Sus scrofa: one gene and its partner. The protein of the gene in region 1 purifies or fractionates together with the protein of each later gene. This does not show direct contact. Links are inferred from orthologs where the notes say so. Each region holds a gene or a part of one and is shown on either strand. Other genes may lie near its edges.

Evidence for each region. The genes of interacting proteins can lie anywhere in the genome.
Region 2: the proteins of FAM60A (region 1) and SIN3B purify together in Homo sapiens (affinity purification with mass spectrometry; 3 studies listed by BioGRID and IntAct, counting the BioPlex papers as one, with this or other methods). This does not show direct contact. The link is inferred for Sus scrofa from reciprocal best matches to the Homo sapiens genes SINHCAF and SIN3B.

What each region holds. Positions count from the first base shown.
Region 1 is NC_010447.5:42,942,558-42,949,654, reverse strand, and holds part of FAM60A (protein FAM60A), read right to left. Parts: intron 4,208-7,097; 5' UTR 4,190-4,207; coding exon 4,062-4,189; intron 2,417-4,061; coding exon 2,317-2,416; intron 251-2,316; coding exon 124-250; intron 1-123. UniProt on the Homo sapiens protein: Subunit of the Sin3 deacetylase complex (Sin3/HDAC), this subunit is important for the repression of genes encoding components of the TGF-beta signaling pathway.
Region 2 is NC_010444.4:60,786,442-60,794,286, reverse strand, and holds the start of SIN3B (paired amphipathic helix protein Sin3b), read left to right. Parts: upstream 1-2,626; 5' UTR 2,627-2,681; coding exon 2,682-2,789; intron 2,790-3,024; coding exon 3,025-3,131; intron 3,132-4,447; coding exon 4,448-4,601; intron 4,602-5,147; exon of another isoform or gene 5,148-5,212; intron 5,213-7,845.

The DNA of each region.
Region 1 (7,097 bases):
TCCATTCTTTTTTAAAAAAGGAATGAAAGAAAAAATGGTCCGTACATGCCATCTGCCACCCCCAGACAAAAATGAAAACCAAACAATTATTCTTAAATTCTCATGTTTCAATATCAAACTTACTGTGACGTTTAAATTCCTTCTGTAGCTTACTGATCTGGTTGCTTTTTATCCTGTTTCCAGATAGGGTTTTCACTTTCTTTGGTTTCAGTGTAGTCTTTAGACTAGGTCCTGCCCTTGCATCTACCACCTGGAAGAAAATACTGAATATTTAATACCATTTAAAAAATGACACCTCTGTATTCCCTTGGTTCAGATGAATGTTTATTTGAAGGAGCCAAATTTGAAAACCACAGTTTTCTACTCAGTGTTTGAGAGCCCATGGGCACTTTTAATCGTCACATGGTATTAAAGAACAGTTTATCTAGGGGCTTTATTCTTTTTTTTTTTTTTTTGTCTTTTTGTCTTTTTAAGGCCGCACCCATGGAGGTTCCCAGGCTAGGGGTCTAATGGGAGCTACAGCTGCCAGCCTACACCACAGCCTCACATCACTGAGTGAGGCCAGGGATTGAACCCGAAACCTCATGGTTCCCAGTCAGATTGTTTCCACTGCGCCACAACGGGAACTCCTAGGGGTTTTATTCCTTTGAAGTAAGTAATAGCAGGAGTCTGCTGGACCAAAAATTCCTATCAATTTACATATGGTGAAAATGACCTAAGTAGGTTAAGAAAAACCAAGCCTAACAACATTTAACTTTTCTACGGGATGATGTTTTTCAGCTTTCACATTTTTGATTTTAACTTTACCACAAAGCAGTAACTATTTTTGTTACTACAATTTTTAAGGTAAAGAAAAACAAGAAATAGCAAACTATGCATTTTGACTAATTTCACTTATTTATTACCAAATGGGCAAGGGTGGGTGGGGAAGGGGCCCAGACTAAAATGAAGGTTCAGACCTACGCTTTATGCTCATTTTAGTCCACACCCTTAATCCCTGAGGTTAGCTATGTGACAGCAATGGCACGTTCTCTGTGGCCAAGCATGACCTTTGGTCTAATCCTATGTGGTCCCACTTCTCACGCCTTCATTCACATTTACTATTTGCAGATTTCTACCCTTACATATAAAGACTGACGTTACCTTCAAAGGCACAATTTAGATCTTTCCAGATAAGCTATTAATTAAAGAAAAACTCACATTTTTATAAATTAACAGACTCATAGAAACTATCCTAATAATGTAACATTGTCACCAAAGGACAGTGTAAGGCTAGTGTAAGAAAAAAGACAAAGATAAATGCTTGCTGGAGTTCCCATCATGGCACAGTGGAAATGAATCTGACTAGGAACCATGAGGTTACAGGTTTGATCCCTGGCCTCGCTCAGCGGGTTAAGGATCCAGTGTTGCCGTGAGCTGTGGTGTAGGTCAAAGACGAGGCTCGGACCTGGCGTTGCTGTGGCTGTGGTGTAGGCTGGCAGCTACAGCTCCAATTAGACCCCTAGCCTTGGAACCTCCATGTGCCTCTGGTGAGACCCTAAAAAGACAAAAAGACAAGCAAACAAAAAGAATAAATGCTTGCCTGCTTAAAAATGAGTATTTTATATAAATATAATAAATCTTCTGAAAGCACAAAAAAAATTAGACAGCAGACGTAAGTGTTGTTCTGATCACTGAAAATATTTTCTAAAGAATTCTAGTGACATTACAAAGTGAAATGCAAATAGAAAACACATTTACATGCCAGTTTGATCTCAACTAAATTTAAATACAGAATATTAATAGCTTCTGAGAGATTACTATGCATAATACTTTATATATATCTTCTCATTCAGTTCTCACAACAGCTCTGTAAGATAACTATTTATCTCTGCACTTTATAAATAAATGTCACGTGCCCAAAGTTCACAACTAGAGTGGTAAAGGCAGGATTCGAATCCTGTTGACTGAAAACCTACATGCTCATTATCAATACAAGCTAAGGTATATGTTTTCCTAAGAGATGAGAAAAAGGACCTATGTCTAACTAACTCTAGGAATTTCTGGGTTAAATCTGAAAATATGGGAAATATATACTGTGACTTTCCAATATGGGGATATCTGATACAACCTTAGGGAAACACCATATCAAGCTATTTCGCTCCCAAACATGCCGAAATGTCAAGTGATGATATCTGAGCAGCAACTAGCATTTTCTTTATTCTTTTCAGACTTTTCCACCCTGGGAACATATTATTTCCAAAATTAGGGGGGAAACTAATGTTACTTTAGTATATAGGAAAAGGTATAACTGAGAAAGATGAAAGACAAACTCACATGATTCCAGTTTTTTTTTGATCCTGCTGGCAACTTCTTCCATCTTTTCACAAGCAGGACACAGGCATTACAGATGTCTCCTGAACGAGTCTCATGTAACCTGATAAGAAAACAATCAAACCTTTATTAGTCTCCCTTAAAGGATTCATGCAAGTACATTTCTTTTAGAAAAAATTCATCTATTTATAGTTTATAGATGTTCTTTCTAATTGTTCTGGGTGATCTAGTGCCATTGTTTTCTGTAGTACATTTCAGAAATATAATCAACTTCTATATCCAATGAACCAATTCTATGTGCTGCAATTTGGTCATTTCACAACAATGTTTTTTAAATTAAGCACTAGTAAAATTTAAGACCTAAGAAGATCCTGGTCTCCATGGCTTTAAACAATGCTGTCCAATTAATCTTTCTTGAAATATACACATAATTCATAAGCAATAAAACACGCCACCCTTTACGTAACACAATGTGCCAAAATACTGTAGTTTTACAACAAACAAAATCAGATAGGCACTGTAATTTTTTTTAAATGATTGCACCTGCATGGAGGAAAGAACTCTATAGTTAACCAAGCTATTTTTTAAATGTATCTCTGAGGAACTTTTAACTTATTTTATTTTTTTGTATTATAAATATATATGGGAAAATAAAAATAACATTTATTACATATACAACTGGAAAAAAACACATTAAGAGAAATATGTAATTTCAGGAAGTTCCCAAGTGGCACAATTCGTTAAGGATCTGGCTGCCGCACCTGTGGCTTAAGTTGCAACTGCAGCACCAGTTTGATTCCTGGCCTGGGAACTTCCACATGCTGCAGATGCAGCCAAAAGAGAGAGAATGTAATTTCAAAAGGCAAGGTTGGTTGGTAAAGACTCTTTAAAATAACTACAAAGTTGGAGTTCCTGCTGTGGCACAGTGGGTTAAGAATTCAACTGCAGTGGCTGGGGGTGATGCAGGTGCATGGGTTTGATCCCTAACCCAGCACAGTGGGTTAAAGAATCTGGTGTTGCTACAACTGCAGCATATGCCACAGCTGCGGCTCAGATTCAATCCCTGGCCTGGGAACTTCCATATGCTACGGGTGTGACTATAAAAAATAATAACATCTATAACTACATAGTCTAGGATTAACAGTAAATAAACAAATGTTCTGATAAGAAAAACACAGTGGTGAAATTAATTCTAACATGAGAAATGGTTCAAGATTAAGGATTTTATTTCATCCAAGTATTTGCTGGAAAGTAAATTCCATTTTATTAAGCAGAGGTTTATTGCCAAAAGATAAATAAAGAATAAAATTATAAAATAAAAGCTAGGTTTCGGGGCAGAACATTAAGTCCTGTTAGTATCCTCAGCAGACTGGGCTAAATGGATTTCTATAGCTTAGAAAAACAATACAAAAGACAGAAAACTAGTTCAACTATTCTAACAGAGAATACGTTAATCTTTTTAAAAACATTTTTGTACATCCTGAAGTTAACAACAAAAGGGTGTATTTGGTTATAACTTCTAAGGGGCCTCACAATTAATTTGGCAGTTCCTCCTAATCTGGAAAAGGGTAGGCTGTCAGTATTGCTTGATTTGTTTTACGAGCAAGTGCCTTGAAATAAGAGATTAGAATTAGCATATATGTGATTTTAATTATTAGCACACTACTCCAATCCCTTTGCTTAGAAACATTTCCATATACTGAAATCTCTTTCACTTTAAAAATGGTACAAACATCAGATGGTCTTACCCAAAACAGCTCTGGAAATCCTTTTCATAGCGTTTACTGTCAGTGAAGCGAGAACTAGAGGATTTAGCTCTGCAAATACAGCAGCCCTCTATACTTCGGTACATCTTTGGCTTGTGAAAACCAAACATCTTTTCTTCTGGGCAAGTCTGTAAAGCCAAGGGAATTGACACAGCTTTGTTGAGGGCTCTAACAAGAAACCATTAAAAGAGAAATCTCTGCTCCACCCCACCCCCAGCAACGTGTTATTACATGACTGAGCCTGACAGGAGCACTCCGGGGAAGACCCCCTCCTGGCAAACACTCATCCTAAAAACTGCAGGAAGGAGGTATTTTCTCAAACTCCAGATTTTAAGCAGAAAATACAACACACCCTTCCCACTATCCTGTGAAATAATGGAATCATAACACAATGGAGGACACATCCTAAAATTTAAGCTAAGGTACACCCTTTTACTTTGCACCTCTGCATGAATGTGATTCCCCCTTGGAAAGTTTTGGACACGATATGATACTAAGCACAGAAGTAGTTCAATATGTATCACCTACACTTCTTTGCCCTATGGGAAATTAGAGGGGATTTCTTCTCTGATAAATGGGGAAGTTCTTAGCAGGCAATTGGGCCCTGAATTGAAACTACTGAAAGGGAGGCTGTAAAATTCACAAAAATCCAGGGTTATAGTAATTTAAGAATAATAATTTCATAAATCATTAAGACAAATTAAGAATGAGCTCACACTGCCTGACCAGTGGTGTGTCCTTCAGTTGTTAGAGAGGTCTTTGAAGCTCTTCAATGAGGTGCAGCGTCTGAGAGCAGTTAACAGTGGGAGGCCGATGTTCAAAAATAGTGAGATAAACCGTGATTCCCATGATCAAAAAAAAAAAAAAAAAAAAAACCCTCAACATGAAGCGAGGAAGGAAGAAACAGCTCTAGGGGTGGCAAAAACATGTACCTTGTAAGTAATGTAGAATATCCAAACCAAGGACCAACTTCACCAGGACATCTGGACTAAGAGAGGTGATGAAAAGGTGGTGAACAGAAACTAAATCCCAAGGGACAAATCCAGAGTGGCAGGGAGGGTGTGTGTGTGTGTGTGTGTGTGTGAGGGTCTCACAAAAGTAACAAATAAAGCATCAATAAAAGGAATTATTAATACTAATTAGATTTGTGGCCATAGTTTTAAGAGATGTAACCACAGAATACCATCCTTTTAAAAGTTCTTTTGGGTTGGGGAATACACTGGGGGTATGGGATAGAAATCCTACAAAACTGGATTGTGATGATCACTGTACAACTATAAATGCAATAAATTCACTGAGTAATAATAATAAAAATTCCCTGAATGTTAAGCCTGTGGTAAGCCATCTTTTTATGGAAGAGCCAAAATAAAAACACAAAAAGTTAAAAAAAAAGTTATTTTAGAAATACACTCAAATATATGAGGAAAACAAAAACATCATTATTTGTCTTTGGATGATCTCTTGCCTGATCTCATCCCATTCCAATTCTGTTTAGCCATACCAGAGCAAGTATTTATGAAAGTGATTCAGAGAAACAACCAAATAGTCAGGCTGTGTTTGTGTGCGAGAGAGCGAGATTGAGGGATTCTGAAATACAGAGGATTTATAATTTGTTTTTAAGAAAATATTTTATCAGCAAAGAATTAACTAAAAACACAAGTTTTCCTTTTAAACAGGGGCTATTGTTCATCAAGTGTTCTTCTTTGATGTTTTTGTTGGTGAGGGAGGCAGGCAAAAGGGAGATGGGGTGGGGCAGAAGTCCACTGATGCATTTCAATAATTAAGTCTAAACTAACAGTTATTTTAAGAATTGCTAAAACAAGAAAATAAAATATTCTTAGTTGACTGAGTTAATTGTTTGCACTAAATTAGTTTTTCGAAAGGAAATAATGAGGAAGGTGTTCTATATATGTAAAGGTGTAGGCCTGTGAAACGAGGTAGATTTTTTTTTTTTTCGGTCTAACAACAAATCCACATGAAAAGTGCCTTCTAAAGAAAATGGTCATCTGTTGCACTGGAAAAAAACAATGTCAAATGACACAGGTTTACAGAAACTTTAAAAGAAGAAGTGCTAAGAAAGTAGAAGTTATTGCTTTAATTTGTATATTCCTGTTTCGAGGCCAAAATGGAACAGAACTCTTTCTATTCCTTACACCAACCTGTGGGCTTTCCAAACCCCCCCAATCACCATCAAGGTCAAAAGTCCACAGTTCCCCTTGCAGCTTCATCAACAGCTCTAGGAAACTTCAGCCTCCCTTCTCAGCAAGGACAAAGCAAGCACAGCGAGAAAGGCCAGTTCATTCCATTAATACACAGACCAAATCCTATTACAACAGACAGATTCCTATTTCTACTCTCACAATCCCCTTCTCTCCCAGAAATAAACATGCCATCAAAACTATACAAAATTCAGATCATCTTCAATATGTAAACTACCATCACTGAGGCTGGATTTGACCATGAAGCCATAGTGTGCCCGATATCATGCTGGCAAACTGGTTAAGGAATACTAGAGCTACAGCTAAATACTGGGGGGAATGGAGGGGGGGGTTCCTTCTCACCAGCAGCTGTTGTGAATCAGTGTTTATCTTCAATATGATCTTTATTGGTGGGGAGGATTTCCATAAAACTTAACCAAGAGTACCAGTGAAACTATCCGTTCTTCAGCTTGAGGAATGTTCTTCTTAGACATCAGGGAAAATACAATAGCCTGATATCTCTGATTGATAATCTTTTATGCAGTTCTGTGATCTTGTTTTTCCTGACAAAATTATTCTGGCCTAGCATCTGAAAGAAGCCTAAATCCTAGAGTTTACCCTCTTCCAGGAAGTGCTAAATACAGGAAGGGGGCAGACACTTGTCCTAGGGAAACATACAAAGAGCACATGAGCCTTCTAATGGCCGGTTACCTAATAAACCTATTAAACCTTTTCTGAGCTTATTCTTGTACTTGAGAGGCACCTGGGAATCTGCAGCAAATACACAGGGGTTTCATTTTGGGCTTTGTTTACAGCAACC
Region 2 (7,845 bases), on another chromosome or scaffold:
GCCTAAATGATGAAACAGTCTTCCTGCACTGTGCCTGGCTCCTCTCCAACCACTTCTCTGCAGAGGAGTCAGATCATTTGCTTCTAACTTCAAAGATGCTCAAACAGCTCCTTGCATGGAACCCATGTGCAGTTTCTACCAGCACTAAATGCCAAGATCAAAAGCCTTAACTCACCCCACAAGAATGAGAGTTCTGCTTCCTCCGTCCTCTCCACTTTTTTTTTTTTCTTTTCAGGGCTGCACCTCTGCATATGGAAGTTCCCAGCCTAGGGGTCAAATTGGAACTGCATCTGCCAGCCTACATCCACAGCCAGAGCAACGCTGGATCTAAGCTGCATCTGTGACCTATGCCACACCTCGTGGTAATGCCAGATCCTTAACCCACTGATCAAGTCCAGGGATCAAACCCACACCCTCCCGGATACTATGTCAGGTTCTTAACCCATTGAGCCACAACGGGAACTCCTCTTCTCTCTTTTCCTGCACCCTCTCCCTCCCTCTCTCATTCCTCTGCAGTCCAAGAACATTGGCCTTTTTTTTTTTTAATTCTTCAAATGTGCTACACTCCTCCCCACCACAGGGCCTTTGCACAGCCATTCCCCTGACTTTCATGGTGAACACTTATACATCCTTCAGAACTCAGCTAGAATGCCACCTCTTCTTATTCCTTGCTAGAATGGATTAAGTGCTTTGGGTGGTATTTTCCAAAAATGGTCATGGCAATATTTCCTATCCCCCATGCTATTTCAGAATCTGGCCACCTCCTAGGTTCTGGAGTCTGTTTGCCCTCCTCTTGAGTTTGGGAGGGACTTTTGATTCTCTGTGACTTGCAAGAGTGGATCAGGAAAGGCTATAAGTTTTCCTCCTAGCTCACATGTTCCTCTCAGGATGATTGGGCTTGGAAGCCAGGTGCCATGTTGTGAGGAAGCTCAGGCTACATGAGGAGGCCATATGTAGGTATTCCTGGCAACAGCACTGGCAGTGGTTTAGATCTACAGCAAGAAGCAACTGGCACATGTGTAAACCTTCAGGGGATTCCAGCCTCAGCCTTCCAGGCGCCCAGCTGACCCTGAGGGACCAGGCATTAGCTATCCCTGCCAAGTCTGCCTAAATTCCAGAATGGAGAGCAAAATAAATATTATTATTATTGTAAACCTCTAAATTTTGAGGTAGCTTGTTACATAGCCATAGTAACTGGAACACAATACCTTTTTTTTTCTTTTTTTTTGCTTTTTTGGGCCGGCATATGGAGGTTCCTAGGCTAGGGGTCCAATCGGAGCTACAACTGCCAACCTACACCACAGCCTTAGCAACTCAAGATCCAAGCTGCATCTGTGACCTACACCACAGCTCACAGCAATGCCAGATCCTTAACCCACTGAGTGAGGCCAGGGATCGAACCCAAAACCTCATGGTTCCTAGTTGGATTCATTTCCACTGTGCCATGACAGGAATTCCCAATAACTATTATATTTGTATGTTCTCTCTGAAGTATTTGTTACAAGTGAGCTTTACATCTATGTATGTGATTATTTGATTCCAATCCTCTTGAAAGGCTGATGGCTCTGTGAGTGTAAAAGCCTGGTCGGTTTTGTTCACCCTTCTACTCCTGACCCCTGGCAAATGATGCACTTGTTGCCAATGTATTCTCAGCTTTCCTGCACCTCTTCACACATTGAAAAAAAAGATACTGGAGTTCCCATTGTGGCTCAGTGGTTAATGAATCCGAACATGAGGTTGTGGGTTTGATCCCTAGCCTTGCTCAGTGGGTAAGGAGCTGGTGTTGCCATGAGCTGTGGTGTAGGTCACAGACGCGGCTTGGATCTGGCATTGCTGTGACTCTGGCGTAGGCCAGCAGCTGCAGCTCCAATTAGACCCCTAGCCTGGGAACCTCCCTATGCTGCGGGTGCGGCCCTAAAAAGACAAAAGACAAAAAAAGAAAAAGAAATAGGAAGACCTTGGAGGTTTGGAAGCAGCTATGGAATGATAGTTCTTGATAGCACTGGGGCTGGAAAAACTGGTTAAGAGGCTCCCGAACCAGTGGGAGGGTCCAGTGGGGAAGTGATAGGGTCAGGAACCAAAGGCTCCAGTGGGGAAGTCATGGGGTCAGGACTAGAGAAGCGAAGAGAGGAGGAACAGGACTAAGTCAAGAGCAATTTGGCAAACCCCGTGGCCCTGAACTAGGGTGCTGTGTGCCCATACCAGGTTGTCACATCAACCCTACAAGTACGAGTCAAGAACATTTTATTATATATCAGGCTGTGTAGATCTTAGCGTCTGTCGCAGTTATTCACCCCGCTGTTGTACTGCAAAATTAGCCAGAGATGACAGGTAAACAAGTGGGCATGCCTATGTTCCAATAAAACTTTATTTTTGCAGACACTGAAATTTAAATTTCATAGAATTTTCACGTGTCACGGAATAGTCTTCTCCCTTGGATTTTTCTTCCAACTTTTAAAATTGTAAAAATTATTCCGATCTTGCTTTGGGGGCCAGACAGAAGCAGGCGGCAGGTTTTGGTTTGCTCACAGTGGTATATGTCAGGACAGTCGCGTTTCAGTTTTATGGGGTAAGATCCTACCGCAGAGTCCTTGAAAGAGCCCCGCCTTCAGGGCGGAGCCAGCGCATGCGCGGCCGGCCCCCGGGCGGGGGCGGGGCGGGCTGTGGCTCCGACTTCCAACATGGCGCACGCTGGCGGTGGCGGCGGCGGCGGCCCAGCGGGCCGGGGGCTGAGCGGGGCCCGCTGGGGTCGCTCGGGCTCTGCGGGCCATGAGAAGCTGCCAGTGCACGTGAGTGGCGCCCCAGCTCTCCCTCGAGCACCCCGTCGTCCAGTTCCCGCAGGCCGGCGCCCCCCACCCAAGCCCCGCCCGGCCCCGGCCCCGCCTCGGCCTCCTCTCCGCGCAGCCCCAGACCCCCGACTCCCCACCTCCGCTCCTTGAGGCCCAGCCGGTTGCCCCTCCCGCCAGGGTCCCCCGCCCCCTCCTCCGCAGACCGCGGCCCACCTGGACTTTCCCCTCCCCGCAGGTGGAGGACGCCCTCACCTACCTGGACCAGGTGAAGATCCGTTTCGGCAGCGACCCTGCCACTTACAACGGCTTCCTGGAGATCATGAAGGAATTCAAAAGCCAGAGGTACCTGCCGGGCCCCTGCCCACCCCAGGGGACCGTCCTGGGCCGCAGTCAGCCTGAGCTGGGTGGGAGCCCCTTACCCTGGCTGCCCCATGACGGGGTGACCTTGCCCAGGTGGTCAGAACTTAGCGGATCCTCAGTTCCTTCTTAAAAAAAAAAAAAAACTGGGACGGGAGGGACCCCCCGGGAGGGACCCCCCCCCCTTCACCCGCCCCGCCGTGGCCCTGTTGTGGGGATTCCTGGACCGAGGGCAGGGATGGGGTGAGGCAAGTGAGCAAACACAGGGTAGGATCCCGTCTTTACTCAAAATGTTGATTTTTAAGTGAATTTCATTTTTCGAGGCTTTTTAAAAGTTAATTTTTATCTTTTGATCAAGCAGTGCATGAAAATGTTATTAATTTTGGTTATCGACCGTATTGGCACTGTGTCCCTCTTAAATCTTATCCCCAAGGTGAGTTCCTCACTCCCTTCACTCCAGTCCCAGGCCTACTTGAAGTAATGCGCACAAAATGCTTAGTAAGGAATCTGGCACTAAGAAGGCATTTAAAACATGTTAGCTGTTTTCACAGGCACTGAATCAGGAGGGTTAGAGATAGATGGGAGACCTCCCTCCCGATGGTGCTCTTGTTGGAAAGGATGCTCATTGAGGCTTAGAGTGGGTCAAGGGGTTGTCCAGACCCACCTTAGGGGCAGAGGCGGGACCAGAACTGGTTCTGTCTGACTTAGATTCGCCAGTGTCACATCCCCTCCGTGCTGCTTCTCCCTCTAAGGAAACAGGGTAGGGCCCACCTGGTTGCCTTCCACAGGCACAAGGCTAAAGCCTTGGCCCTGACTGCAGCCCTGAGGGAGACCCCATCTCTGCCCTCCGATTCTTATGCCACTTCCATACTTGCATGGCCTTTGCATTATAGTCAGTTGCTGGGAACAACTCCAGTGTCATAGTCCATCTCTAATTCATGCGAAATGGAGGAATTTATCTCCCCTTTAGAGGGTTTTGACATGTCACTTCTTGGAGCCCACAATTTAAAATTGGCTCTCCTGACATTTTCAGAACCTAGCACATGTGCTTGCAGTGTTTTGGGAGCCGTGCTGTGTACATATTCTGTGGATTTTGCCAGGAAGGCACTGGGAGCCCAGGCCTGGCTGCCTTAGCAGCGGATCACCACCAGCAGAATCACTCCAGTCACATTTTAGGGTGGTTGGTTCTTTGTCCGTTGAGAAGCTTGTGACATGGCACGGTTAAGGGAGTCACGAGTAGATTTCTCTTTTAATCTGCTCCCCAGGACGCCTCTGCCCACTCTTGTTCTTCTTTGTTCTAGTATCGATACTCCAGGAGTCATCCGGCGAGTGTCACAGCTATTCCACGAACACCCTGACCTCATTGTCGGATTCAACGCTTTCCTTCCTCTCGGCTACAGAATAGACATTCCCAAGAATGGCAAGTTAAACATACAGTCGCCTCTGTCGAGCCAGGTATGCGGCTGCCGTGGTTTGAATGATCTGACCTTAGCACAGCCCACCCTGGTACGCAGGCCGGGCAGCGTGTCTCGTGTACTTCATTGCTAGAAAGGTGGTGAAGATCTGGTCTTTTTCCTGAAATGCTTCTAACGCAAATCAAAATAGATCAAAACACCTACCCAGGCAGGCTCTGCATCCCAAATTGATCCTTTTGGCAGATTTAAATCAGGAGTGGATGTGTTTGTGCGTGCCAGGGAGGCATTCTTCTAACACAGTTTTATGTCCAGTCAAGATAATTGTGTCCACAGTCACTGAAGTCTTGGTTGGAGGTTCTTCCTCTGAGTGCCTTAGGCAGGCCTCACTTGTACTTGGGCCTGTGGCCCCTTCTGATCACCCTCAGTGCCACCCACAAAATAAAAGCAGCAGAGGTGCATGTGTGACTAGCCATTTTTGTTGCTGTGCTTCATTTACCTGCTGACAGGATCATTGACTGAGCTCAGGCTTGTGGCTTTGGTCCCTTCTTTCTTAAATGACAGCTTGCTGCCTCTTCTGTCTCTGCAGTCCCTCCTTGCTTGAGCTCACCAGACTCCCTGAGAAAAAGCCTGTTTGAGCTTTACTTTTCTAAGGTAACCATTGTCTTTTTCTCTCCTCGACCCTGTTGCCGTGTAAGGCATAACACTTTGCTGTGGGGGTGTTGTCCAGGGCATCATGGAGTGTTTAGCAGTGTCCCTGGCCTCCACCCACTAGATCCCCACCCAGTCAAGACAGCTAAAAATGTCTCCAGACATAGCCAAGTGTCTCCTGCGGGCAAAATTACTGCGTTGAGAACCACTGGTGTAAAGGAACCAGCTCTTGCAACCTCCTCCATCTCTGCCCCAGGGGTTTTTGCGGGGAAGGTAAAAATCTACTCTGGAAGCATTTTGTAGGTTTCTCCTCTGATAAAGGAGATTGCAGAGTGTCCTATCAATTAAGGAGTCAGGATTTGAAAAGAGAACAGCAAGAGGCAGTGTGGCACTGGCTGGTCCTTCTCCAAGGGGGACTGGCACATAAATTCTGCCTTTTCTCTACGCAAGGCAAGCTCCACCATCAGCACATTGTCTCATTAAAGCTGAGGAGTGTGTATGTTTTAAAAAGGAACTTGGAAGGCTTCAGCCACTGAATTCCAAAAGGCTTCCATTTCATATTTGCAAATGGAGCCCCAGGATCCAGAGGTAGCGCTTCAGCCTCCAGATGATAAAAGCCTTAGCGGAGATTAATCTTCAGAACAATCACAGCCAGGGGAGGAAAGCAAGCTCATCTGCAGCAGTGGTGCAGGAGCGTTTTGCCGGATCTGAAGCGCTGCATAAATGCTGGCTGTCATTACCATCACTCTGCTAAAAAGAGCCAGAGTCCAGGGCCTAAATTGCACTCTATGTGTGGAACTCGCCTTTCTCAAGCCCTGTTGGGGTGCTGCTCTCTGGGCTGGATCTCCCCACGAGCCTCACCTTCCCTTCAAGAGCCCTAAGGCCCTGGCCACTCCACAGCTTCAGGAATTGTTGGAGAGATAAGGAGACAAGACCAGTCTGTCTGCCCCTGGGTGGATTTGGTGACCGCAGGTCTATTAACTCAAAGAGAGGCTTGATGAGAATTTTCCCTTAATAGCTACTTACTAGGGTTTTATAGTCTGGCTGTAGCCCGGCAGCCTTAGATATGGCCCCTTCCTCCTTTGGAGAGGGACAGCCTTTCGTTCCCTTGGGGCATGTGCCGCCCACTTGGTTTCAGTCGTGTACACAGATCAGCCACGTTTCCAGCCCTGCTTCACTCCAGGCACAAACAGGATGTCTGCTCAGCTTCCTAGAGGCCTTTTTCGGTCCATGGTACCCTGTGAACTTTACAGGGCTCCCTACACACCAGCACCCTGGTAATTTTTTTTTCTATTGGTTTTTCCAGCTTCATTGCTTGGAAGTAGAGCTCTGAGAGAGAGAGAGAGAGAGAGAGAGAGTGTGTGTGTGTGTGTGTGTGTGTGTGTTGCCATTTTTTAATTTGTCATGAGTCCTGACAACTACAGACAAGGAGAGAGTAGTTCTTAGGTGCCGAGGAGGAAAAATAAGTCTTGGCCTTTGGGGGGCCCTTTGTGCACTGTTGCCCTTGGGGCCAGATCATTCTTTCTCATGGGGACCATTCCATGTGCTTGAGGGTGTGAGCAGCATCCTTGGCCTCCACCCACCTGATGCCAGTAGCACCCCCTCCCCCAGGTGTGACCATCTAAAACATCCATAGATGTTGCCAGGTGTCCTCAGGGCGCAGTATCACCCCAGTTGAGAACACTGGTCTAAGGGGAAGATAGATGTATGCTGTGATGTGGGCAGAATGGCCAGAGAGGGACGGGACCGTGGCAGGAAAAACGTCTCCTGGGTGGCTGTGGCCTCCTGAGTAAACATCTTTTGGGGTCTGGTTGGCCTCAGTTGTAATGTCACCTCCTCAGAGAGTCCCCTATACCCACCCCTATGTCCTTTCACATCACCCTGTTTTATGTGTTTCAAAATAGCATAGCAAAGCTGAGAAATAAAAAAAATCCACTGTTTCTCGTTGGTTTCCCTTCTCCTGGCAGACTGAGTCCTTCAGATCAGGCAGGGCCACATCTGTCTTGTTCATGACTGTCCCCATTCCAGAACATTAGAGGGACAAGATCCTGGATGTTGGTGGGAAAATGATGAATCTAGGCTCCTGGGCTCGCTTAGAGGGAAAGAGATAAACCTTGAAGTAGTGCTTGTAACATAGTGACTCCTTTACATTCAAGAGAGGCTGCCATCTTCCCTCTGGGGAGGGTCATTCAGAAGTTCAGTCTGTTCCTGGCAGCTCACTGTGTGCTTCAGGGTGATGAGCAGCCATTGAGCAAGTGTGTATCACCCCCTTTGTGCCAGACACTGGGGTTCATTTAGCATCTCTCTTGGGGCGCTTGCATGGTCCAGGTGGGGACTTTTAGGAGACATGTATGGACAGATGGACTACAAGAGAGAATTCAGCACAGCAAGCAAGAGACAACAGGGACTAGGCTTGCAGAGGTGCTTAGGCAGGTGCTAAGTAAGGGAAACAGGAACCACGTCCGTATCTTGCAGGGGAGTCTTCCTGCTGGGGGAGTAAAGCTGAGGTGGGAACAAGTGGGTACCTGAGAAACACCCTGGAAGCTGGTGGGTTGGGGCCCCAGGCAGAGAGTAAAGGAGGGAGGATCCAGGAGCCTGGGAAGCCAAGGCAAGAGTTCTGGAAAGGCTGCTCCGGC